Arabidopsis thaliana: one gene and its partners. The protein of the gene in region 1 interacts with the protein of each later gene in a pairwise test. Each region holds a gene or a part of one and is shown in the gene's direction. Other genes may lie near its edges.

Region 1 (7,183 bases):
TAGATCCACATCAGAACCAGCCGGAACATACAACAAATCAAGTCCAATTCTCAAACTAACAAGAACAAGACCGATAGTTGAGACATTAGAACCAGATCGGAAACACAAACCTCCATAACTAGATCGAAGAAACGAGACGGCTCCACCGGGGAATAGATCCGACTACAAAGAGCACCGATCCGCCACCCATCCTCCATGATAGTCATCACATCGGAACCACCACAAAAAAGAGAGATTTGAAGAGGAGACGACGAAACTAGGGTTTGAGAAACTAAAATCAGAACAAAGAATAACTAAGAGACAACAAACTGAAACTACTAAGAACAGGACCGGCGACGGTGCTATGGAAGCCACCAATCACCGGCCAAAACGAGGAGGAAGATGGCCTTGACGGCTAGGGCGAACAAGGAGAGGGGAGAGAGGTCGGGAAGAAAGAAAAAAAAAAATTTGAAAACCATAAAAAATTACTAAATAATTTCCATTTTGATTACTAAATAATTTTCATTTTTTGAAAACCATAAAAAAATTACTAAATAATTTCCATTTTTTGAAAACCATAAAAAAAAAATTGACCAGAAAAAAAAATTTTGAAAACCATAAAAACAATTTCCATTTGCTATATACCATAAAAAAATTACTAAATAATTTGTTTCTATGGTCTATAGGTCACGTATTTTAATTGATCAATTTGATGATGATGCTATATACTATCAAATTTGGAACAAATTCTAGGACTAAAAGGATAAATAATTTGGGCAATAGACTTAGACCAAATTCATATTAGTTCACAACTTCACATCACAAAAAGCAATTTAGACCACTTTTTTTTTTTTTGTAAAATGAACAATTTACATTTTACACCACTTTTACCTAAGTCCTTAATGTGGTGGCCCTTATTCTAGTTTGATTAACAAAGTTGGTTTCAATGATATTTCTAATCCTTTTTAGTTTTTATATGTTGATATTATAGGGTTCTTTTTTTGCGAATTAGATAGTTAAAAACATTAAAAAAATTTAAAAAAATTATAGGCTATACTTTTATTTTAGGGAGAGAAATAAATTGTTAAGTAAATTCGGCAATTTATTTTATTAAGAAATTTTTTAACAAGTTAAACTAAAGAATTTAGCACAAAGTTAAGTGCTAGTTTTAACTTCTCATATTGCTTTAAATCACTCATACACTATGTAAATGTCAGATCTTGTTATCCACCCAACCCACAATATAGACGGATACATGTTATGGGCCGAGAACAGATATCAGGTCTATTTGCTTAAAGACCCATGGGTTTAGGAATGCCTATCGCTGCCCAAGAAAGATCTAGAAGGGGATTAGTATTTGCGCTTCGTAACGGACGAATCACAGAGTAAAGTGAAGAGCGATGATGGCGGAATAAGGATTCGAAACGAACAACATTAAATCGAGACGTGATCGGCGACACGAGAAAAACATTATTTGTGATTACGAATCTCACAATATTAATATAAAAGGAGAGAAATGAAATTGTAAAGGAGGGTCAGATTGTAACGACATTATACATAACTTAATACATTATTCTTCAAATTCGATCTTGTTCGATTAACAAGGCATAGAGACATCGAAACATCCACAAATTTCTAATTGAGGTTTCTGACATCTACATACTAGTTAGTGGTAATCAAACTCTTTTCTATATTACTCACAAATTAAATGAAATGAAAAAATCAATTTTTTACTTTTTTCAATGCATAATTCGATTTGTACCAATGGATAATTTGTTGTTCGATAAATAAGAGTTGTTTTTTTCAGAAAAAAAAAGATAAATAAGTGCGGTTTATGAGATATCATCCTACCTAAAATATGCAAACATTTTTTTTGTTCTTGAAATACGCAATTGTAAAGATCTCTAATCAAGGTTTTAGAGTGAAATAAAAATGTTGAAATTTTTCTATTCTCAATTTTGTTTAATTTGTAGCATTCATGATAAATAAAATCATTTTTATTTTCTATTTTCTTCCATTTATGTTAAAAAAATAGAGTAGATTTTCTTCTACTTTCCATAAGAGTAAAAAAATTATACTCTATTTTGCTATTTTCTCTTGATACTGTATATTCTATTTCTACTTGTTTACTCTCACTCTTTTCTACTATTTTCTCTAAATAATACTAATCAAACTCTATATTTAAGCTATATAATTATACACTAAATAAATATATTTTCTTGAAGGAGTATATTTTTTTAATCCATATATTTATACACTATATATGTTTCCCAGAATATATTTTCTTAAGCCATATATTTATATATTATATATAAATTATCCAATACATACACTATACATATTTTAGATGCAATAACATGAAGCCACTATATATAAAAATACCACGAAAATACATATCTTTTCTCAAAATTAAATTAAAGTTGTCGCTTCATGATATTGCAGCTTCAAATGTGACATTTTTGTCTTATTAAAGCATAAAAAAAAATTAATAGCGACGCATTACCTTTTTCTTCCTTCTCATAGTTCTATATATTTTTATATTAAAATTTATTTAGTTTGTTTCACCAACAAATTGTATGCAATTAGTTCATATAATAATTCAAAAAATAAACTGTAGTTCGTTTTGGTGAATCCGACATTCCAACATCATACAAAGAAAGCTACTATTTAAAAACACATACTATTAAAATTTGATATTCTTTTATAATTATTATGGAACAAATATTTCATTTCAATCATTCAAGTCACAAGGTTCAAAAAAACCAAGAATACAAGGATCATAAAGTTTAAGACAAAACATACAAAAATATTTTACAATGCTAAAAAGGGATAAATAAAATATATCCACAAAATATGTATAAGAGCTTGAAAACAAAAGCTAAAAAGCAATTTGGCGCAAGTAATAACATTATTTGTCCTGAATTCATCATCCAACTATGCATTGGATAGAACAATGGTCATAATCAATAGACCACAAACGATATTCTCGCTGACACAAGAAAAACTAGATCAAGAAATTCATCGGCAAGGAAAAAGATATGTTATAACTAACTTCAACATTACAAGAAGTTAACTAAAATGAGACATGTGTTAATTCAATCATGATTAACAAGGTAAAAGCATTGTACGTGGTTATGATACATAATTAGTTTCTTTTGTTTTTACAGACAAGAAGCTGGAAAATTCACGTTGACATTGGTCAGGACCCAAAATAAAAGGGGTAATATCGTCATTTACTACCATAAAGAAACACCAACCGATAAAACGTCCATTCTAAGACGGCGGGACAATGTTCATACTTCATGGGTACATTACATACATACACCAAAAACTTCAAAGCCCCCACAAATCTCTAAACATATCACAAACTTCAAATTTCTAAAGACACAACCCGGATCCGGTTCCAAATCAAAACACAACCCGAAATATGCCGATCGGGTGGGTCAAATCCTTACATTGCAAATCAAAAGCATTCGACGATGTCTATCATCATCACTCCAACAAAGGTAAACTCTTATTGCCAAGTTACAGCTGCAGAAAAAACGTTAGAGACGTTGTCAATACACAACCCGGAACCGTTAAGAAAAACCCAAAACCGGACCCGAGTTTAAGACGTTTATGCTCTTCTCGTCGACCCGAATTAGACTCCAATTCTCATCACCCGACCCGACGAAGTGTATCAGCTCGAGCTTCCTCGGAATCTGTATTGCCCGTATTGACCGATCTTCCTGATGGTCATCCGTCAAGAAACGTCGTGGAGATTATATTCCAATCTAGTTGGAGCTCCGATGAGTTTCCGGGTCGGGTTGAAATGATTTTTAAAGTTGAAAACGGGTCAAAAGCTGTGACCCGGTTTGAGGAATATAGAGAAGCTGTGAAATCGCGATCGTGTTCGAAAGTTGATTCTGATAGAGTTGACGGCAGCGCGTGTGATGAAAACGCGCGGTGCTCCGCTGATGGGAATGAGATGATGAGGTTTTTTCCGTTGGGTCCGATTCCGGGAGGGATAAACGGCGGCGCGTGGGGTTTTCCCGGAGGGAAAGGAGCGGCGGTTTGTACGTTTTCCGGTAGCGGAGAAGCGCACGCGAGCACTGGCGGCGGAGGAGGGAGGAGAGCGATGTTGATTTGTAGAGTGATTGCGGGTCGGGTTGCGAAGAAAGGTGAATTCGGGTCGGATTCGGTAGCGGGTCGAGCTGGTGAGTTGATTGTCTTTGATGCTCGCGCGGTGTTGCCTTGTTTCTTAATCTTTTTCAGATTGTAAAAAATAATAATTATTATAAAATTTATACTAATTTTGATTTATATATTTTGGTTCCATTTTTTGGTTTGTTGTATCTGCTTCGTATTTTTCAGATTTATATTTAACTTTTCGTTCAAAATATATTTTTGGTTGTTTTTAGGGTCCAATCTATATACTTATGTTTAAGGTTTAGACAATTTGGCAGGATTCGATATTGAATAAAATCATTGATAGGTAGCAAATTAGATAAGAGATAATTAGTGATACCGTTTTTACAACCATTAATTTTATTTATGTATGTGATTTGTAACCACTGAAACGATAAAGTTTTTGCTATGGTAAAGAGTTCCCAGTCTAAAAATAAAGTGCACTTATTCAATGCAAGTATATGAATATATTCCATCTGTTTCATTATATATGATGTTTTAGAGTTTTAATTTTGTTTCATTATATAAAATGTTTACAAGTGTATACTTTATTTAAATAAGAAACAAATTTGATTCAACGTCACTAATTACTATTTTTATGGGAAATATTTTCGTGAAAAATTGTTTGATATATATAACAAATGCAGCACATTTTAAAATTAATTCGTTGACTGCAAAAGAGACAACTCACATGCAGATTACATGCAAATATATAAAAATATACATTTATGTGTGTGCATATATTAATGAGATTTTTTTTTTTGGACAACCTATATACGATTGGTTAAGTTAATGAAAATTAATTATTAAAAATAAAAAAAGTTAATGAAAATTTTGAATTTACATAAGAATATTTGTCATTTTGGTCTTAGTAGAGTTATGTGGAGGAATGAAGATGAGTTTTTAGAACAATGATACATAATGACGAAAATTTATTAAAATACGGTACATTATGATTTTAACCGAATGGTTATGTCAGAACTCAGAATATGTAGAGAGAGTGTAACTGTGGAATGTGATATGGTGAGAAGTCTTTTTTGCATAATATGCACAAGTTCATAGGTTTTAATTTGAAATGACAAATTCTCGCATTTTAAAATTTTGTGCACCAATACATGCATAATGAGTTTTAGTATACCAATAAAATTATCATCATTTTCTTCAATTTAGTAAATAAAATTAAAAGATATGAAAGAGCTGAGCATTTTTCTTTTTTTAAAGTGCTGACCATTTATGAGAAAATATCATTTTAATCTTCGTAACAACTAACAACTAAACAATAATACTTGAAAAAAAAAAAAAATCACTTAATCCTACTTTTTATTTGTTTTATTCGCTTTGTCTAATCAGTCACCATCGTTCTGAGTCATATAAACGTATATTTGAGTACCATACAATGCAACTCAACATTTCTAACAGAAGTTTGTTATGTAGATTAACTTTAATTAGTTGTTGTTGTCTTGATGAGGCCGATTTAGTTTGACTTAAAAAGAGTGATCAGAAAAAGATAATCATGAAAATGCAGATTTGGTGGAAGTCTAACTTAAATTATGATGATGTATAATTACAATACCAAGTGGAAATCCTAATAATAGTTCTTTACATTATGACTTAAATATTTCGTTTATATAAGAATAACATAAAAACAGACAATCTATATATACATTTTTGCAGCCATTTTAGCAAAGAAATCATAGAGTTGGACTTATTTACAACCCAATACCATTAGCATTAAATCTTTTTTCCAAAATAATAAATTTTACTTTAAATTTTTAATTTAAATTGTCAATCGCATTATCAATCAAATTTAATCCAAACAAACTTCACATCAATCCCTTAAAATTAGCATAAACGTTTTTTATTAACAATATTTTAAAACAAAGTTTTTTGTTTAAATAAATATTGTTCTTACTAAACGTTTTTTGTTTAAATAAACAAATCATGTATTTGAACTTATTTACAATGTCATGCTACTGACATTAATTATTTAGGCATGAAAATATTTATTTAAAGATTTAAATCTTCTAAATTTTTGCTTTTAGAGATATTATATCATTACCTAAAAGGCAAAAAATATTAATTTTTTAAATATTATTATTTGTATATTTAAACTTCATAAAACATTATTAATATTTGAATTTATAAAAAGTTTAATCTATCAAAAATAATTAACATCATTATATAATATATAGAGTTTAAAAAAATCTCAAAAAACATTTCGTCATATTATGTGATTCGAAATTTTAAGAATGAACATATATTAACCAATTGGCAAAAACTGTGTGGGTTCAACGTCCCGCAATGACTAAAATATTTTGACAATGATTCATAAACATATTATAAATAAGTTCAACATTAATAAAATAAATAGTTTTTTTTTGTGGACGGGTTTAGCAGGACGGGTTTGGCAGGACGTTACTTAGTAACAATGGTAAACTATAAAATAATTTACAAATTTTTATATATATTAATTTTAAAAAATGAATTGTATCCGCGGTGTACCGCGGGTTAAAATCTAGTACATGTGGTATTATGTCAACTGTTCTAGACAAAATTTTAATTGCAGCAGCATTTGCTTTCAAGCAACAGTTTGATTATATTTATTTAATTTATATCCCTTTTGTATATTAATTTCTACTGTTTAATGGCATTCATATGGAATTATATAGGAAATCTAAAACCAACCAATAAGAACTTTTAATGAAGCTTATCCCACATTATATAAGATTATTTCTAGTTATCAAACCTTCGTAGGTGTAATTTTTAAATCTATCAATTGGGGAAAATCCGTCCATGATCCCAAAATTCTATAAAACATTCATAAAAAAAACTCCATTTGTAATATATTTGCGAGTAATCTACATATAATAATGTGTGTATATATATTAGTAGGTGATTTTCATCAAACTATATGAGATGAGAGGGACAACCAAACAGATATGAATTAGAGACAGAAGTAAACCACAAGTAAGTAACGCTTGTTAAGTTTTATTGGTAACTTATATTTCAAGTTTCGTTTTTTATTTTGAACCCATTC
Region 2 (9,202 bases), 6.9 Mb from region 1:
TTTTAATTCGATCTCTCAACGAATAACAAAACCCTAAGAGAAATCTCCGATTAGAAGTGAAAATGGAGAAGAGAGATCAAAGCACTTCTCGAAAGCACAAATCTAAGCCCCTCTTTGTGTTGTGTCCCGGCGGCGATGATAAAAGCCAAAAGACACAACCTACTGATTAAGCCTGAATCATAACGACGCCGTTTTAATGGCACATTTCTGTTGTGAAATATTTGCAAACCAACCCCTTGACTTAATCATGTTTTGTAAAATAGCCCTTTTACTTCGAAATGTGCGAAATTATTCTTCATTTGATTAAAAATCTGCACGTCAGCGGTGAAGTTGAGTGTGTGGCGATTAGTAGCCGCATTTGTGATTTTTTCTTTTTAGTGATATTTAATTATGTTCAACGTCACCTATCTTTTAAGTTCTTAAAAGGTTAAAGATTTAAACAATTATACACTTGATATTATATTTAAGAGGTTAAGGATTTAAAAACAAAAAAAAACAGTTTTAAAATGTTGTACACTCGAATTTCGACACTCTCGTTATTCAATTGTTAAAGAAGTTAGTGTAGAAAAAAAAGTTAAGAATTTTAAGTCAAGGGGTGTATGCAGAAACAATTGTTAGTTTAAGGATTTGTTTGCAAAGTTTTCTTATGATGTGGTACCATCAGGTGTTATCTAACGCGCGTTACTAAGTGCGTAAGATATACTCTCTCCATATATGTACGCCACGTGATAATGGTACAACTGTGTTAGTGCTTGATCCCGTTTGGTCAGTATGATCCATTTGTTTGGTTACTTCTTCCAGTCTTTGTAATACTAGTAAGTTTTCGTAACCACATCAATTTTGGGATCATAAAAAAAGTTGAAATACTTTCACACTACATACTTCACAGACTGTAAATTAGTTCTATCTATATTTTTATCTAAATATTGTTGGGCTTAATATGGAAGGAACGACAAAAAGATAAAATAATTTTCCCAAAAAAATTATTTTTGTTAAGTATAGCGGAGAGAGATTTTAACTTTTTCCAAGATGATATCGGGTTTGAATGATAACCACAATAATAATAGTATAGCTTTGTATAACTTTGAAAGTTACCAATCACAAAAACTTTATCAAAAGTGTTATTAAAAGTTTTATACTCACCTTTTTTTAATAATTTCTTTGTATAGTTCCTTCTAACAGCTTTGCACTATTCCGATAAATCTAACAGCTAAAAATCTTGTATACCTTTTGGTTACCAATCAGACCCATCATATAATGTATAAGAAAATTGCAACTATGCCATCAATCTTGTTTCTTGTCTTTTCATGTTTTGGAGGGTCCATACTCAAAACAACAAATCAATATCGAGTTTTTATGTTTAGTTATATACACTATCATTACTTTCAAAACAAAGAAAAAAGCCTTTAACAAAAAAACAAGTGGGTGTGTATAAAAGTAGATGTCGGACCACAGTTGATAAGAATCAAATACCGAAAGCCTTATGGCTATTATTCTATGTGATAATTATGTAGATCACACATAAAAAAAGTTCACCAGCTCATTACTCATACTCACTTACATGATCAAGTTCAAATTATTAAAATGTAAAAGTCTTCATGTAAACAAATCGGGCCGTTCTAAGCCCATATAATGAAGCCTGTTATGCACCTAAACAAATAGGGCCCTTTTATCAATTAGGGAAAGAATTACGGGCCTAAACAGCTCAGAAGTTCTGTCAATTAAACTCTGTGTTTCCTTAGTCTAATAACTAACCGATAAAATAGGTAGTAAAAAAGTCAACGATAGTTATCCCAAAAATGCAATGTTAATATTTTTGTCAAATCTGATTGGTGTTGGAAAGTGGACTATCTATAAATCCATCTTTAAATGATAGACAGAGACACAGAGTAGAAGACTTTACAGCTGTACGTAGCTTTTTGTATAAACCACAAAAATAGTCAGAAGGCGACCTACACTATGTGATCATATAACACTCCCCATATATCTTTCAAGTCTTCGTTTACGAGGTTAATATTTTTCAACGTTTAGGATCCAGGTTTCTTTTAGATTCAAGTTGTGAATTAGAAAACAAACAAAAGAAGAAGTTTTGAGAGCACGTCTTCTAACATGGAAGCATTAAACTTGACGTATTTTTATGGACTATATTAATCGATATGCTGGGAGGATGATGAAAAAATAAAGAATTTATATATAAATATTAGTTATTTAGGTAAGTATGAAAGATAAATAATATATAAACCAAAAAATTTTTTTTAAAAAAATTAATTACAAAAATGCTATTGAATAAAAATAATTGTAATATTCGGATGATAAGTATATAATTATTTGTTTAATGTTTTAAAAACTATGATATCGCGATAAGTTTATAAATTATTTGTTAAAACATATTTATCGATTTAAAATTGTAAATCAGAATTTTTTATTTATGTATATTCAGCACAATAAAAGGAAATTAGACTTTTTTATATAATTAACATGATAATAATTATAACTACATGATATATAGAATGATAACATGCTAATATATTATATAACAGAATAATATTTATATGAAAACGTTAAGATATTCGATACATGAATAATGTTTACTGTAACGGATAATTTATACATAATATTTACTAATAATTGTTAACGAGGTTAACCTGATGATAACAATGAAAATATTTAGTAACAAAACAATATATGAGACTTTAATTAAAAAAAAGAAAAATACAGAAGAATAATAAAGTAACTTCATTAGTTCTTTTACTGTTGAAATAGTCCACAATTCCTACACCTAATTTTTCAGTCTTCTGAGCATATAAAGTGATATTTTCCTATTTTTATTTACTTTTTAATTGTATTATAATAATATTTGGGTATTTTTGGTTATTATAATAATATCTGAAAATATTATTGATATTTTTGGTTATTTTTATATTTTTACTAAAACAACCGAACCGATCCGAATCCGAACCAAAATCGAACCAAGTTTTTAGAATATCTGAATGGTTCTCAACCTCTTCATATCCGAATAGATTTGATATCCAAAAAAGAACCAAACAGATAGGGATACCCGAATGACCAGACCTAGTATTATTGATATAAAAAAGGTTGCTCAATGTATAATTTCATTTGACTAGCTGGTCTGTTTTCGTACAAACACACTCACAAAAGTACGAAAATAGGAAGTCGTCTTAGTTTTAGAAAATAACTATTGCTGCTTATTGGCATATATTGAAAAATCAAATACTACTAGTAATCGTAAGTTCTAAATTTGAATGTTTTTTTCCCGAGTAATTGAATTGTTCTTAGTAATTAAGTTCACAAATTTGGAAAATTGCGATATCTGAGAACGTATTAATTTACCTGTCGGTAAACAGTCACACTCATGTTTCTAGATTTCGTATATTTTAGTAATAATTTGGTTAGTCTCCTTATCTGCGAGTCAACGAGACCCGGTCCGCTCAACCGTACTACAGTCTAAATTCTAGTTTCACGCGCTTACTTACATTACATACGCGCTCATCTCTTCTTTACTCAAAAGTTTTAAAAAACGAATATCAAATCAACGCTAACAAAGTTTGATTTTTTGCTTCCATCTTCTTCCCCTCCTTAAGTTTTCAAATCTATTCATCAAATTTTCTTTTGTCTTTCCCTTAAGATTCCCGGGAAAGCCAAGGAAAAACGCTAGAAGAAAATTAACATAATAATGTTAATTGTTGCTTAAACCTTCCAGCTCAAGTTTGGTAGTAAGTAAGCAGACATTTAATCCCCCAAGAAGCAATTGAAGAAGACTTTTAATTCTTCTGAATTTTCTTTCCAAAAACCCCTTTTTAGAAAATTGGTTGCATCATAGAGATTGGTTCATTTATTCCCACCGGAGAAGATCATCAAATTCGTCTTCTCACCTATATCGCCGACGACATTCTTCACGGTTCGTTTGATTTCTACCTGTTGGTTCTTCGTTTTATCTGAATTCAATCGGAGATATATGTTTTTGAGTTCGAATTTGATAAAAAATCGAAACTTTTTTGATTTGAATCGCAGTTGGAAAAAAACAAAGCAAAACCCTAGAAATAGTGGCTGATGAGGTCGCGAGGCGATGTCTCTGAAGCAGAAGGTACGAGATCAGATGCTGGTTCTTCAAGAAGCGAAGAAGAAACGAGTCTGAAGGAGAAACACTCAAATTCGCGAGCTGGGTCTCAAAGATCTGGAAAAAGCTTGAGAAATGACGAGCCTAATTACGGATCAGATTCTTCATCTAAGAACACAAGCAGCAGCAACAACCCTATTGAGTATACAGAGCATGAACGAGCTGAGCTTTTAAGAAGGTTAGATTCTATCAAAGATCATCTACTTCGCGGTGGTGGTGGTGGTAATAATGTAGTTGATAAACCTAAAGAACCAGATCAGAATCAGCCTTTCCTTAGACCAGTTCATCTTCATGGTCATGCTAATCATAATCCTGGTCCTTCTTATTACCATCAGTATCCAGAACCTATTCAATACCCTGGACCGGTTCATGGAATGTATCCTCAAGCTTATCAAGATCCTTATGGGTACCAAAGAAGACCACCTCCAGTTCCTAATCCAAACTGGTATCCTCCTGGTCATTACCCTAATCAGATGGCTCGTCAGTATCCTGGAGGTCAATATGTTGAACTTGGTCCTGATATAGTTGAGCCACATTCTTACTATCCAGCTACTCCTGGTAGGTACGGTGACCTGCCTCCGTATAGCCCGGTTTCGTCTCACCATCGTGAAGAGAAACTCGCTACACAGTACAGTGATATGCCTCCGTATAGCCCGGTTTCGTCTCACCATCGTGGCGAGAAACTCACGACACCGTATAGTCCACGTGTTAATAACGGTTCGAGTTTTCCTTCTTCGATGGGCACTCCAGGTCCTCGAGGTGGTTATGCAAGGTGGCCGAGTGAACATGATTCTGAAATGGGCGGTGCTTTTGCTCGTGGGTATGTTAAGAAAGCTGTATCGGATACTGGTGTTCGACGTTGTCATCCTCTTGCTGGTGGTGCTCCTTTTATAGCTTGTCATAGTTGCTTTGAGCTGCTTTACTTGCCTAAGAAGAAGCTTTTGTCTCAGGAAAGGTTACATAAGCTGCAGTGCGGTGCTTGTTCTGAAGTTATTAGTTTCACAATCGTTGATAGGAAACTCGTTTTCTCTTCTGGTAATGAGGAAACAAAACCGGTCTCTCTAGAGGTTGAAGATAGAAACACAACAAACACAGTAGTGATAGAGGAGGAAGTCTCTTCTGTTGATTTCAACAGCTCAGGTAGAGATATTCCACGTAAGGATGAAGAAGAACCAGTGCAAGAACTGAGAAATCATCAGGATACTATTACTACGCAAAGCGTCCGCTCTGAATCTCAACACTCAGATGATGAAGAAAGATCGAGCAATTCTAGTGAACAACAACAGAAGGAGGTCAAATCTGTTCGTCGGCGAGGTAAAGGGTCAAAAGCACCTGAACCCGCTGCTCCTGATAATGCCAGTCTCCTTGAACTTTTTGAGTATTCTAATGTAAACAGAGCTGCACTCGCTTATGGAATGGCGCAGTTAGGTTATGAAAAGCCAGATAAGCAAAAGTCTTTCATGACACAGGACTCGCTGAAACCAGAATCAGTAGCTACAGAGACAGAGGTTTCTTACAATGGATACTCTAACACCGAGATCTCAGAAGATTCAAGGTACTCAAACAGAAAGGGTAGTGAGTACGGTTCGACAGAGATCACAACGAGGTCCTCTACTGATCAAAACGAAGACCAGATGAAGTCATTAGAGGTTTGGGTTAATGGACATCTTATACCAGAAGATCTTGTTAGCAGTGCTGAGAAATTAGCTGGACCAATCCAAGCTGGAAAGTATTGGTACTTCCATGAACTTCAGCATCCACTGTTTCTCTCTTGTTTTTGTTTTTCCCTTTACTCAGTTTCTGATACATGTCTCTGATTCAGGTATGATTACCGAGCTGGGTTCTGGGGAGTGATGGGCAAACCGTGTCTCGGTATAATACCTGTAAGTACCTTCACATTGTTCTCTCAAGTTGATTATTGGAATGGTGTCATCAAATTGATGAAGAAATGGTTGACTTACTTGTTGTTGTTGCAGCCATTTATTGAAGAGTTTAGCCATCCAATGCTGGATAACTGCGCTGCAGGAAACACAGACGTGTTTGTGAATGGAAGAGAGCTTCACAAGAGAGATTTCGAGTTACTTGTGGGTCGTGGTCTGCCTAGAGACAAGAACCGTTCTTACATTGTTGATATATCAGGAAGAATCCTTGATCAAGATTCAGGAGAAGAACTTCACAGCCTTGGCAAATTAGCCCCAACGTAAGCAGATTCACACAAATGATTTTTATTCTTTTGAGATTTTGAGATCACCTAAGATTCTAAAGTTTTAGTGTGTTAAACTTGAAACAGGATTGAGAAAGTGAAGCATGGATTTGGTATGAGAGTTCCAAGATCATTAGCTTCATGAAAACTCCCCCTAGTAACAACTACACAACCAAAATATGATTCTGCTTCTTGTTTCCATCTTCATATTATTTATTTGTTAAACACAACTGTAAAGTGTTTTTTACATCTTGATTTTGATTTTTGGTATTCTTTTTAAAATATCTTTGGGGAAATGTCTGTATGTTTTTTATTGCGACCAGAACCGGTTTAGGGGTTATAGACTGTATACAAACCGGGTTCTCTCGGTACAAGGTTTGTGCTTTGTATTATTTCCATTTTTTTATGGAATGATATTAGTTTGCTCTTAATGACTTTTTTTTTTATCTCTTTTATTGCTCTTTTGTAAGTTGTAACAGAAGCTTCATCGATAACATGGTTTACTCCTCCTAATTCCTTATTATCTCTGGTTTAACTAAATCGTTTATTTAAACCGGTTTTGGTTTGTAGGTTTCTTTCATGTCAGCAACAATATATGTAGGTCATTCGACCATACTCAACAATTCAATTAAACAATGTTCTCCTAGCTGATCTTTCTTTCTTCATGATTAGCTTCTAGGCTTGATTTGCCCTTTCCTCGAGTTCTAGGTGAATTATGGATTGGGATTATCTATCTATCGGTTAGTTATCCGGTTTCATCTTTCTTTCCACTAAAATGTTCATATTGTCTGCTAATTCCTCTCTTGGCTGATGGACTAGTTTTTGCACGTTTCTGAAGTGGGTCCTTCCTAAAATACAAGACAACAGATTATAACTTACTCATGGGCCCAATATCAATATCAATATCAAACAAGAAAGAGAATCTGTTCTTAACAGGCCTCGTGGTCCGTTCGTTTAGTTTTCATGTTTCAATATTTCTTAGAAAAATACAAAATTAGAGTAAGAACAAAAAGATACTAACTAGTAGCGAGCATGAGAAAAACGAGTAAGCAGAAGTTGTCCACTAATAATAAAATTGTGAGGAATCAAGAAATTCTCAATACAAAAAAATTTTAGCAATGAAGAAATAAAATAAAATATTATTAGCAATAATTGGAGTCACTAGAATGTTTCATATCTCTTTATATACTAACACTAGTGTTAGTTCATTCACGCAAATGTTAAAAACCAATTCTACCATTGTTAAACTTATACCAAATATTTAAACTAGTTACCTGCATCATTCTAATAACTAATAAGTCTCATGAATTCACAAACATAGCAATGTTTTGAATAACCCAATATATCATCAAAAAGTGTGGTGCTTCCGTGTTTGCTAAGTTCCAAGATTCAAGAGAAAGGTTGATATTGTTGTAACGAAAGGCTGTGGAGATACAAGTATACCACCTAAGTTGAGATAAAAGGTGTGAGGACCAAAAGCAGGGCATGTGCTTCTTCACATAAATTAAAAGAAAAAAACTCAAGTTATTACTAATATGTGATTAATAAACACAAGGACAATGAGACCATCTGGGCTGGTCCAACATATTTTTGGATTCCTCAAGCAAAGTTGAAAAAAAAAAACTTTTCTGAATTTTTTAATCAGAATTTCACTATCAAAAGTCATAATTGTAAAAAACAAATCCTGAAATATTCTTTATTCCATTTCCAATATATATTGCTGTCACAAAGAAATCTACAAAAATATTTGTTATAACTTAAAAGAATGCCCAACAATTTAGCCTATAATCATATATGCTTCTTGGACAAAAAAAAATCTTGGAACAACAATGCTAATTAAATTTTTCTTTTTTTTTTTCTTACACAGAGCTAATTAACTTTTTCTTTTTTGTTGACTGTGGTTAACATAATTCCAGGGTGATGGTATATTCAATGTCGCAGTATATTCAATGTTGCATGGTGTGTGAATAGTTGTACTATAATATTCCCTCTTTTCATTTTTATTTGATATTTTAGGAAAAATACACATATTAAAAAAAATATATTAAAATTGATATTAAATATATTATTTTTTTGTGTTTTACAATTTTTTATTATTTTAAACCAATGATTGAACTATTAAAATTTACAATTTATTAATAATAACTAATAAATATTGAATAGAAAATTTACAAAATCAATCTTTTTAAAACAAATATTTTTCCAAAAAAATCAAATAAAAAGGAACAGAAAAAATATAATATGACAGTTCGAAAGTATAATTCAAATCTGTAATTGTTACGGTTTTGTTATTCTTCTTTCTTGTCGTTGTTTGTGACAAAATTGTAATCAAATATATTGTATATCTCACAATGGTGTGACTTTTTAATACCATATTTTTTTGTAACGATTGTATCACTACAATTTACTACTTGTCACAAATTCATGACAATAGTTTTTACTGTTACAAATATGTTTCTATTGAGACAAAATATTTTGTATCAATAAAATTACTTTTTCTGCAGTAATTAATAAATAGACTGTCTGAAATTCACAAAATTATTATTCCTGCATTTAATAAAAGTAAAAAAGGGTAACAAAACATCACTTTCATGGTCACAAAGATCCTAAAAGTTAATCTCAAACCTAACCATCTCATTCTCACGAGTCCAACTATAAAATCATTGAATAGCTTCCACCAAATTCACTGTGCTCTCTTCTTCAATGGAACAACAATTAACCTTAGTATTGCTTGATAGCCCAAAAGGCGCCAAATATGTAGAAACCTTTGAAGAAGCCGCTTCTTCTTCTTCTTCTTCTTCTTCTTCTTCTGTTCCCTCCTGCACTGATCACCGCCATCGAACCTTCGTCAAATTCTTCCT
Region 3 (8,121 bases), on another chromosome or scaffold:
ACAGTTTGGGACGACGTGTATGGGTTTGACATGTCGTGCATCAAGAGAAGAGCAATTACAGAACCGCTTGTTGACACCGTTGATGGTAACCAAATCGTGACTGATAGCAAGCTGCTGAAGGTAAGTAAGATTGTGCTGTAGTAGTTAATTACATCTCCCTAATTTTCTGTAGCTAATGCATATTCCTTTTGTTGTTGGCCTTTGTTTTTTTTGACTAAAGACAATGGATATCTCTAAGATGGCTGCTGGAGATGCTTCCTTCACAGCTCCGTTTAAGCTCGTCGCACAACGAAATGACCATATCCATGCCCTTGTAGCCTACTTCGATGTGTCATTCACTATGTGTCACAAGAAGATGGGTTTCTCAACAGGTTCGACTTCCCTAAACATGAGTGAAATATGTTGATGTTTGTCAATGTTTGGTACTCACATTACAAGTCACAACATGCAATGCAGGACCGAAATCGCGGGCTACGCATTGGAAACAAACTGTGCTGTACCTGGAAGATGTGTTAACCATATGCGAGGGTGAAACAATCACAGGAAGCATGACCATTGCACAAAACAAAAAGAATCCCAGAGACGTCGACATAAAGCTCAGCTATTCTTTGAACGGCCAACATTGCAATATCTCAAGGACCCACTTCTATAAGATGCGCTAAAAGCTCTCAGAGGATGTAAAATCCCCCACAAGTACCTTTCATCATCTTGAGGCTGAGATGGACAAATCTCATTTGTATCTCTACTGTTTCCATTATTGCTGCTTATGTTTCAGAATTAGATATTAACCATCTCTCTCTTTCTCTCTCACTGTGCGTCTCTTCCTCTATGATAGTTTCTTGTTCCTCTCGACCACAATATTCGTTTGGTTCAAGAAACCTAAGCAAATACGACAATAGTGTATATATCACACAACTAATTACAATTTGATTTGACCGCTTACAAACAAGTTCATTCAGATGTAGAGAAGGATCGATAACAAACTTTAAAAATTGGATATAGTCAGGCCTTGGAAGTATCGCCTTGGGTCAGACTTTAGTTGTTTCACATGGCGTGGACGCTGGATCTCAGTGGCAACAATAATCAATATTTCACGTGGTATGGCATTAATTTTGATCATATGCATTATTTGATTATTCATCGTTATATGCCCACTTTGAGAGATCCGATAGAAACAAAAATAGAAAAGAAAAACATCACAAAAGAGATCTGTGGTTTGATTTGGATCACCATGGAAAAAGTAGAGGTACCACCAATTCATAACCATCCGCTGTTACCTTTTACTCGTTTTTCCTACAAGGCTTGTAAAGGGTGTGGGTATGTTGGTTACATATATGGAGGCTACCATTGCAATGAGTTGGGGTGTGAATCTGTGTTTCATAAAGAGTGTGCCGACCCGTTACCAGAAATCAACCACTATTCTCATCCAGACCATCCTCTAAAGCTCCTCATAAATGTCGAACCACTTGCTTCTTGTAGCCAGTGTCCATCTTCGTTTGAAAATGGTTATCTTTGTTCGATTTGTGACTTCAAGTTGGATTTTCGTTGCGCGACGAGGTTGCCTTTGGAATTTATTCTTGAAGAATCCACTGTCCACGAGCATCCGATTCAGCTCTCTGATGGAACCCGTGACGGTTTTGTGCAACTTTGCAAAACATGCAAATGGGGAGTTTTCGATGCTGTTCATTACAAATGTAATAAATGCGATTTACGCTTTCATGTGGAGTGTACCAAACTTTTTCCACAAGCTAGCCACGTTTTACACCCCCAACACCCACTCAAGCTCCTTAGATGTGAAGAAGCACCCGATTACGCCGACAACAAGTGTCTTCTTTGCGGGAATAAGTTTGACGGACGAATTCACCACTGTGATGTTTGTAACTTTACCATATGTGGCGGCTGTATGGAAAACCCACCGCCGCTTAGTGTTGTAAGCCCGACCACCCATGAGCATCAACTTTATCTTCTTTCAAAACCTCTCGGTTTCACTTGCAATGCTTGCGGGACTCAAGCTGATCAAAGCCCTTATTTCTGTCTTCAATGCAACTTCATGATTCATTGGGAGTGTATCGATTTGCCCCGCGTCATAAACATCAACCGCCACGATCATCGCATCTCCTACACTCGTCGTCTTGGACATGGGCAAAATACATGCGGGGTTTGTCGTAAAAAGGTTGATGGCTTCTACGGGGGTTATTCTTGCTCAAAATGTTCTAACTATGTTGTTCACTCGAGATGCGCAACGGACGAGGATGTATGGGACATGATAGAGCTAGAAGGGACACCCGAAGAGCCAGAGGAAGATGCGCCATTCGAGGTGATTGATGATAACACGATCAAACATTTTAGCCATGATCATAACTTAGTAATCAACAAGGATGGGAGGATTCTCCATGAAAGCACACTATGTAAAGCATGTGTCTTCCAGATCTGTTCAGATGCGTTCTACAGTTGCGAGAATTGTGACTTCATTCTCCACCAAAAATGTGCTAACCTGCCTCGGAAGAAACGGCATGTTTGCGACAACCTACCATTTACCCTAGTCACAAATGATACTTCAGACGAAACTTCATGTGATCTTTGTTGGCAAAGTTTCACCGGTTTCAGGTACGAGTGTCTTACTCGTATGGTTACTCTAGATGTACGATGTGGTTCAATTCGAGAACCATTGGTGCACCAAAGCCATCAACATCCCTTATACTTTTCGAAACGTAGTTCTAAGTCTTGTACGGAATGTGGCAAAAACATGGATCTAGATATAGGAAGCTTTAGCTGTGATGAGTGTGACTATAGTTTGGACTTCAAGTGTGCTCTTTTACCGCAGAAAGTAAAGTGGCATAGATACGACGATCATCCTCTTTACTTGTCGTGTGGTGAAAGTAGTGTGGATGGAGAATACTGGTGTGAAGCATGTGAAACAAAAGTGAATTCGAAGAAATGGTTCTATACATGCAATGATTGTGGTGTCATATTGCATATTTCATGCGTTGTGGGAGACTTCTCATATTATATGCCAGGTTCCAAAATAGGATGGGAGGAAGACTTGGTGGTATCCAACACCTCTATGTGTAGACCATTTTGCTATGTGTGTAACTCTCAATGCAAGCTTCCTTCCATTGTTAAGGTCGTTTCCAAAGCCGATGTTGTTTTATACATTTGTTCTTTAAACTGTTATTATAATTTCAACCGCTCTAATAACTACTCTAGTAGTGATTGGTAAGGCATGTTTTAATGAAGAAAAACTTTGTACCATTTAATTCCAAAAGTATGTTTTACAATAGTTTTTTTTTAACCTCAAGCTTATGCGCTTTTTCCACAATTATCAATCTTTTGAATCCAGTCAGCAGCAGTCTCAATGATCTTAGAAACAGAATTTCTTAACAGGATATTTAAAAGAACAAGTTTCTTGACATTAGAGCTGGAACTGGAATCTGGTCTCTGTTTTGTGCTAAAGCAAGAGCAGCTCATGTATACGCAGTATGTCTTTTTAACTTCTTTATTAATCAAAATTTGCTCTGAGTGATTTGAATACATGTGATTTGACAAATGATTCTTCGAATGTTTCAGATGGTATATATATGTTAACTTTATAGTGTTATTCAAATGGGTTATACAATCTGATGGTGGAAATAGAACTTACTTTTGGCTGTATAAAAATTAAAAAACAAAGATTGGCCCAATCCTGGTCTTAAAGACAAAAATACAAATCTTTTGGTCTGAAATTACATAAAAGTTAGTGGATGCAATACAATAATAAAACTTTGGTTTCAGAGACTTGAATGCAGCAAAGTCTACCTCCAAAGCTACTTGGCCAAGGAGTTGTGTGGTTCAGACTTCAAACTGTTTTTTCCACAAAATGTACAGTTCCATCCATTTAAATTCTAAACTATTCTATCCATAAACTTCTATTCCATTTAATGCAAGAAAAAACCTTTTTTGTATTCATTCAATTATTTATGTTTTGGCCGGACACAATAGTTGCAGAGTCAACATATGTGGTCTGAGTTAATTAAATAATGCAAGGATGAAGCCAACACATGTGGTCTCAATCTCAGTAATGAAAAGAATCATTTCTGTGGTGCGAATTCATATTAACTATTTGCAAAGTCTGAAAATGATAAACCACTTGAAAAAAAATCCTGAAAGAAAAGAAAGAGAGAAAAACAAGAAACCAAGTCTGAAACTAGTGCAGAAGAGAAGAGCTTTGTGTTTTGGTGGAAGTAAGAAAACATCACCATGGAAAACTTTCTAGCTTTGTTTAATGAAGGCATGGACGAAGAAGCATCCCGCCTTGAAAAATTGTTACCATTTCATGAGCATCCGTTGATACCTTTTACACGCTTCGAGTTCACCAAGTGTAAAGGATGCTACTCGACCGATGAAGATAATACAAGCTTCATTTCCAAACATCCCGGTTGCAGTTACATTTACGGAGGACACCGATGCAATGAGCCGGGATGTGATGTTGTGTTCCATGAAGAGTGCGCCAAGCCGTTACCAGAAATCGACCACCCTTACCATCCAGTCCATCCTCTCAAGCTGATCCTCCTACATACCAGAGTTTCTAATTGTAGTTTCTGTGGAGAATTTTTCAGTGTCGGTTATCGCTGTAACAAATGTGATTTCCAGTTGGATTTGATTTGCGCGAGGAGACCAGCCCTACTTGTTCTTGCTGAAAACTCCTACCTACACGAGCATCCACTCCAACTCTCCCATGAAGCGCACGAAACACTCAGAGATTGCAAAGGGTGTGGCCATCAACATAATAGCTGGAAACATTTCTACACATGTCATCAATGCGAGTTTTTCATCAGTCTGGATTGTATCGATCATAATAGTCCAGAAGCATACCACACTTCTCACCCCCAACACCCACTCAAGTCACTTAGATATGAAGTCCCTGGTTACGCCGACAAGAAATGTCTTCTTTGCCGCGAGGAGTTTGATGGAATCCATCGCCAGCTTCACCACTGTGGTGTTTGTAATTTTAGCATATGCAGATCATGTATGAAAAACCCACCACCGGTTCTTGTTAAAAGCCCGAGGACCCATGAACATCAACTTCACCTTGTTCCAAGACGCATTGACTTCACTTGCAATGCTTGTGGGACGCTAGGTGACCGTAGCCCTTATTTCTGTCTTCAGTGCAATTTCATGATTCATCGGGAATGTATCGATCTACCTCGCGTCATAAACATCAACCGCCACGACCACCGCATCTCTTACACCCCTCGCCTCGGACATGGAGACGGGAAATGCAGAGTTTGTCGTAAAAATGTGGATGGGTTCTACGGGGCTTATTCTTGCTCCAAATGTTTTGATTATTTTGTTCATTCAAGATGCGCAACCAGAAGGGATGTATGGGACATGATCGAACTGGAAGGGACACCCGAAGAAGAGGAAACTGCGCCATTCAAGGTGATTGATGACAACACGATAGACCATTACGGCCATAAGCATAACTTACGAATTTACCGTGGCTGGAATCTACCAGAAAGTGTAGTTTGTACCGCATGTGTCTTCCAGATTTGTTCAGAACCGTTCTACGCTTGCGCGAGAAAGAGATGCGATTTCATAATCCACGAAAAATGTGCCAAGCTTCCTTTAAAGAAACGTCATGTGTGCCACAACCAGCCACTCGAACTATCCCCAAATTATGGCACCTACTTGTTACATAGGTGTAGTATTTGCCGTCAACTGTTCACCGGTTTCTCCTATGAATCTAAGGAATTAAGGATAGATGTACGGTGCGCTACAGTTACAGAACCATTTGAGCACAAAAGCCATCAACATCCTTTACACTACTCTACAGATCACTCCAAACGTTGTAGTGAGTGTGATGGAGACGGGAAATTGAGTTGCGATGATTGTGAATTTGGTTTGTGCTTCAAGTGTGCTATTTTACCGCAAAAGGTAATGAGGCATAGGTACGACGATCATCCTCTCTTCTTATCTTATGGCGAAATGGGCGTGGCTGGCAAATATTGGTGTGAAGCATGCGAAACAACTGTGAACCCAGAAAAATGGTTCTATACATGCAATGAGTGTGGGATCACATTGCATATTTCCTGCGTTATAGATACTTACGCATATTCCATGCCAGGAGCGTTAACATGGATAGGAACATTTGTATCCAACCACTCTATTTGTAGACCACTTTGCTGCGTGTGCAACTCTCGATGCAAGCTCCCTTTCGTTCGTACGCTTCCCGAGGACGGAGCTGATCTATACTTTTGTTCTTTAGAATGTGAGAAGAAAATTTATCAGGAACGTTTCGAATTTTAAAATTATGTTCTTTACTATGTTTAGAAAACTATTTATTTATAGATGATAATGTTTGCTAGCTTGAATGACTCGCAAATTTGGTAGAATTTGTGAGGAATCTGGGTCTGTTAAATTATTACAAGTCCCTACAATAACATTTGGTTGTGTACTTGTGTTAGTGTAATATATATATATCTCATTGAACCCTAGGGTGCATTAGTGTTTGCCAAATAAAAACCAGAAAAAATATCAACTTATTTATGGATGTAAGATTGGAAAAGGTTGGATCAATCTTGCCAGTCAATCCACTAAATGTTTAAGTTCCTACAAGTCGAAATGTCAATGACAAAAACAGAGACGTGGAAGTGAGAACAGAGCAGAGCAAAACAGAACATAGCAGAGTAAGTCAGTCAGAGCAGGTTGTGTTGTAGAATCACATTAGTTCTCTGATAGAGAAGCCAAAAAACTCAGTTTGTGTTGTTGAACTTGGAACAGAATGAGAACAAGTTAATCACTAAAAAATGTTTGTGTCACCGTCATGTTGCGACCTTAAAACAGAGCCCCCTAATAATTTTTTGTTACACTGGTTCTATTGAATCTATTTTATGGAAAAACTATTACACAATTTGGTTTACCAATACATTGATCCCTATCAAGGAAGCTATGGTTTCAGGCACTGAGCACACTGAAGAGTAATAGAGATTAACAATGCAAACATCATCAAGCCATGTAATTCTGCAGTTTTCAACTTAAAAAGTCAAAAAAATTATGATTTTTCATTCAACCAAAGAAAACTGATGCTCCATTATTACAACAAAACTGTTTCCGTGTAATTCCACAGACCATTACAATTGATTCTTCAGACTATCTAGGAGAAAACAAAAAACCTAGATATGGAATTCTAGAGCTAGAATACTTATCGAATTTTCAAAACTGAGTAAAAAAAAAAAAGTAAACATCAAACAACAAACAACATTGATTAACGATGTGGTCCAAGACAAGTCTCTTGTTGTTTGGGTCTGGCTGCATCAAACAAGCTTGAGATTTTCGGCTGATCAATTCTTTAAGCTAACCTTCCTCATTGATTTACGCCAACTTCATCCTCCTTAACGCTTCCACAAACATTACATTCAAGAACTCTCGAAGCATCATGAGTCTTCGGGGGAAGCGGAGCTAGAGTGCCAAAACAATTCTCCTTCTCACACATATATCTCACAAAAAAGTAAGCATGAGGAAAATTAGATTCATCATCCACACCATTTCCACAAACTTCTTCTTCATTCTCACCTACTGAATCTTCCATCTCTTCTTGTTCATCTTGATCCTCCATCTCTTCCATAATCTCATTCTCATCTTCCTCACCTTCAGACCAACTAAATTCCACTTTGCACCGATCACAGTCACACTTAAAACCGTAATCCTCAAGCAATCTCTTTTGTCTACTCGAATAGTTCATGTTCACAGGGAAGTAGCTTAAACAAACTTCTCTACCTTCAGGAACATCATGAATCATCCTAATGATGATATCAGTATTACCATCAGAAGCAGAGTCAACATAATCGAATCTACAAGCATTAGGAAGACAATCATGATTGAAAAACGAAGTCTTTGGATAAATCCCATAAGCTCGCACAGATCTTTTCTCATTCGAAACAGAGCACGGTTCCATCAGACCAAAGGCGTTAACTTTATCCTTTGACAGTAAAGCCGCCGTGAGATCCGGCGAGATAGACACCGGAAGAGATGGACACACGGAAGATAAAAGAGAATGAAGAAACCCAGCAGCTGCAGAATCACCCGCAGAACAAGAAGGATCTCCATTGCTGCTGCCACTACCTTGGAGAGAGAGCAAAATCT

What was found.
Region 2: the proteins of AT4G12450 (region 1) and AT4G01090 interact in a two-hybrid assay, tested with the Arabidopsis thaliana proteins (one large-scale study listed by BioGRID).
Region 3: the proteins of AT4G12450 (region 1) and AT2G19650 interact in a two-hybrid assay, tested with the Arabidopsis thaliana proteins (one large-scale study listed by BioGRID).

The regions. Positions count from the first base shown.
Region 1 is NC_003075.7:7,382,898-7,390,080, reverse strand, and holds AT4G12450 (zinc finger (C2H2 type) family protein), read left to right. Parts: upstream 1-3,149; 5' UTR 3,150-3,406; coding exon 3,407-4,240; 3' UTR 4,241-4,386; downstream 4,387-7,183.
Region 2 is NC_003075.7:468,118-477,319, reverse strand, and holds AT4G01090 (hypothetical protein (DUF3133)), read left to right. Parts: upstream 1-3,440; 5' UTR 3,441-3,919; intron 3,920-4,032; 5' UTR 4,033-4,071; coding exon 4,072-5,873; intron 5,874-5,960; coding exon 5,961-6,021; intron 6,022-6,114; coding exon 6,115-6,338; intron 6,339-6,428; coding exon 6,429-6,486; 3' UTR 6,487-6,814; downstream 6,815-9,202. Other genes in the region: TBL26 (TRICHOME BIREFRINGENCE-LIKE 26), read left to right, coding at 9,045-9,202.
Region 3 is NC_003071.7:8,491,819-8,499,939, reverse strand, and holds AT2G19650 (Cysteine/Histidine-rich C1 domain family protein), read left to right. Parts: upstream 1-4,047; 5' UTR 4,048-4,236; coding exon 4,237-6,285; 3' UTR 6,286-6,471; downstream 6,472-8,121. Other genes in the region: PRMT1A (protein arginine methyltransferase 1A), read left to right, coding at 5-120, 221-371, 457-662; AT2G19660 (Cysteine/Histidine-rich C1 domain family protein), read left to right, coding at 1,148-3,220; ASHR2 (ASH1-related protein 2), read right to left, coding at 7,343-8,121.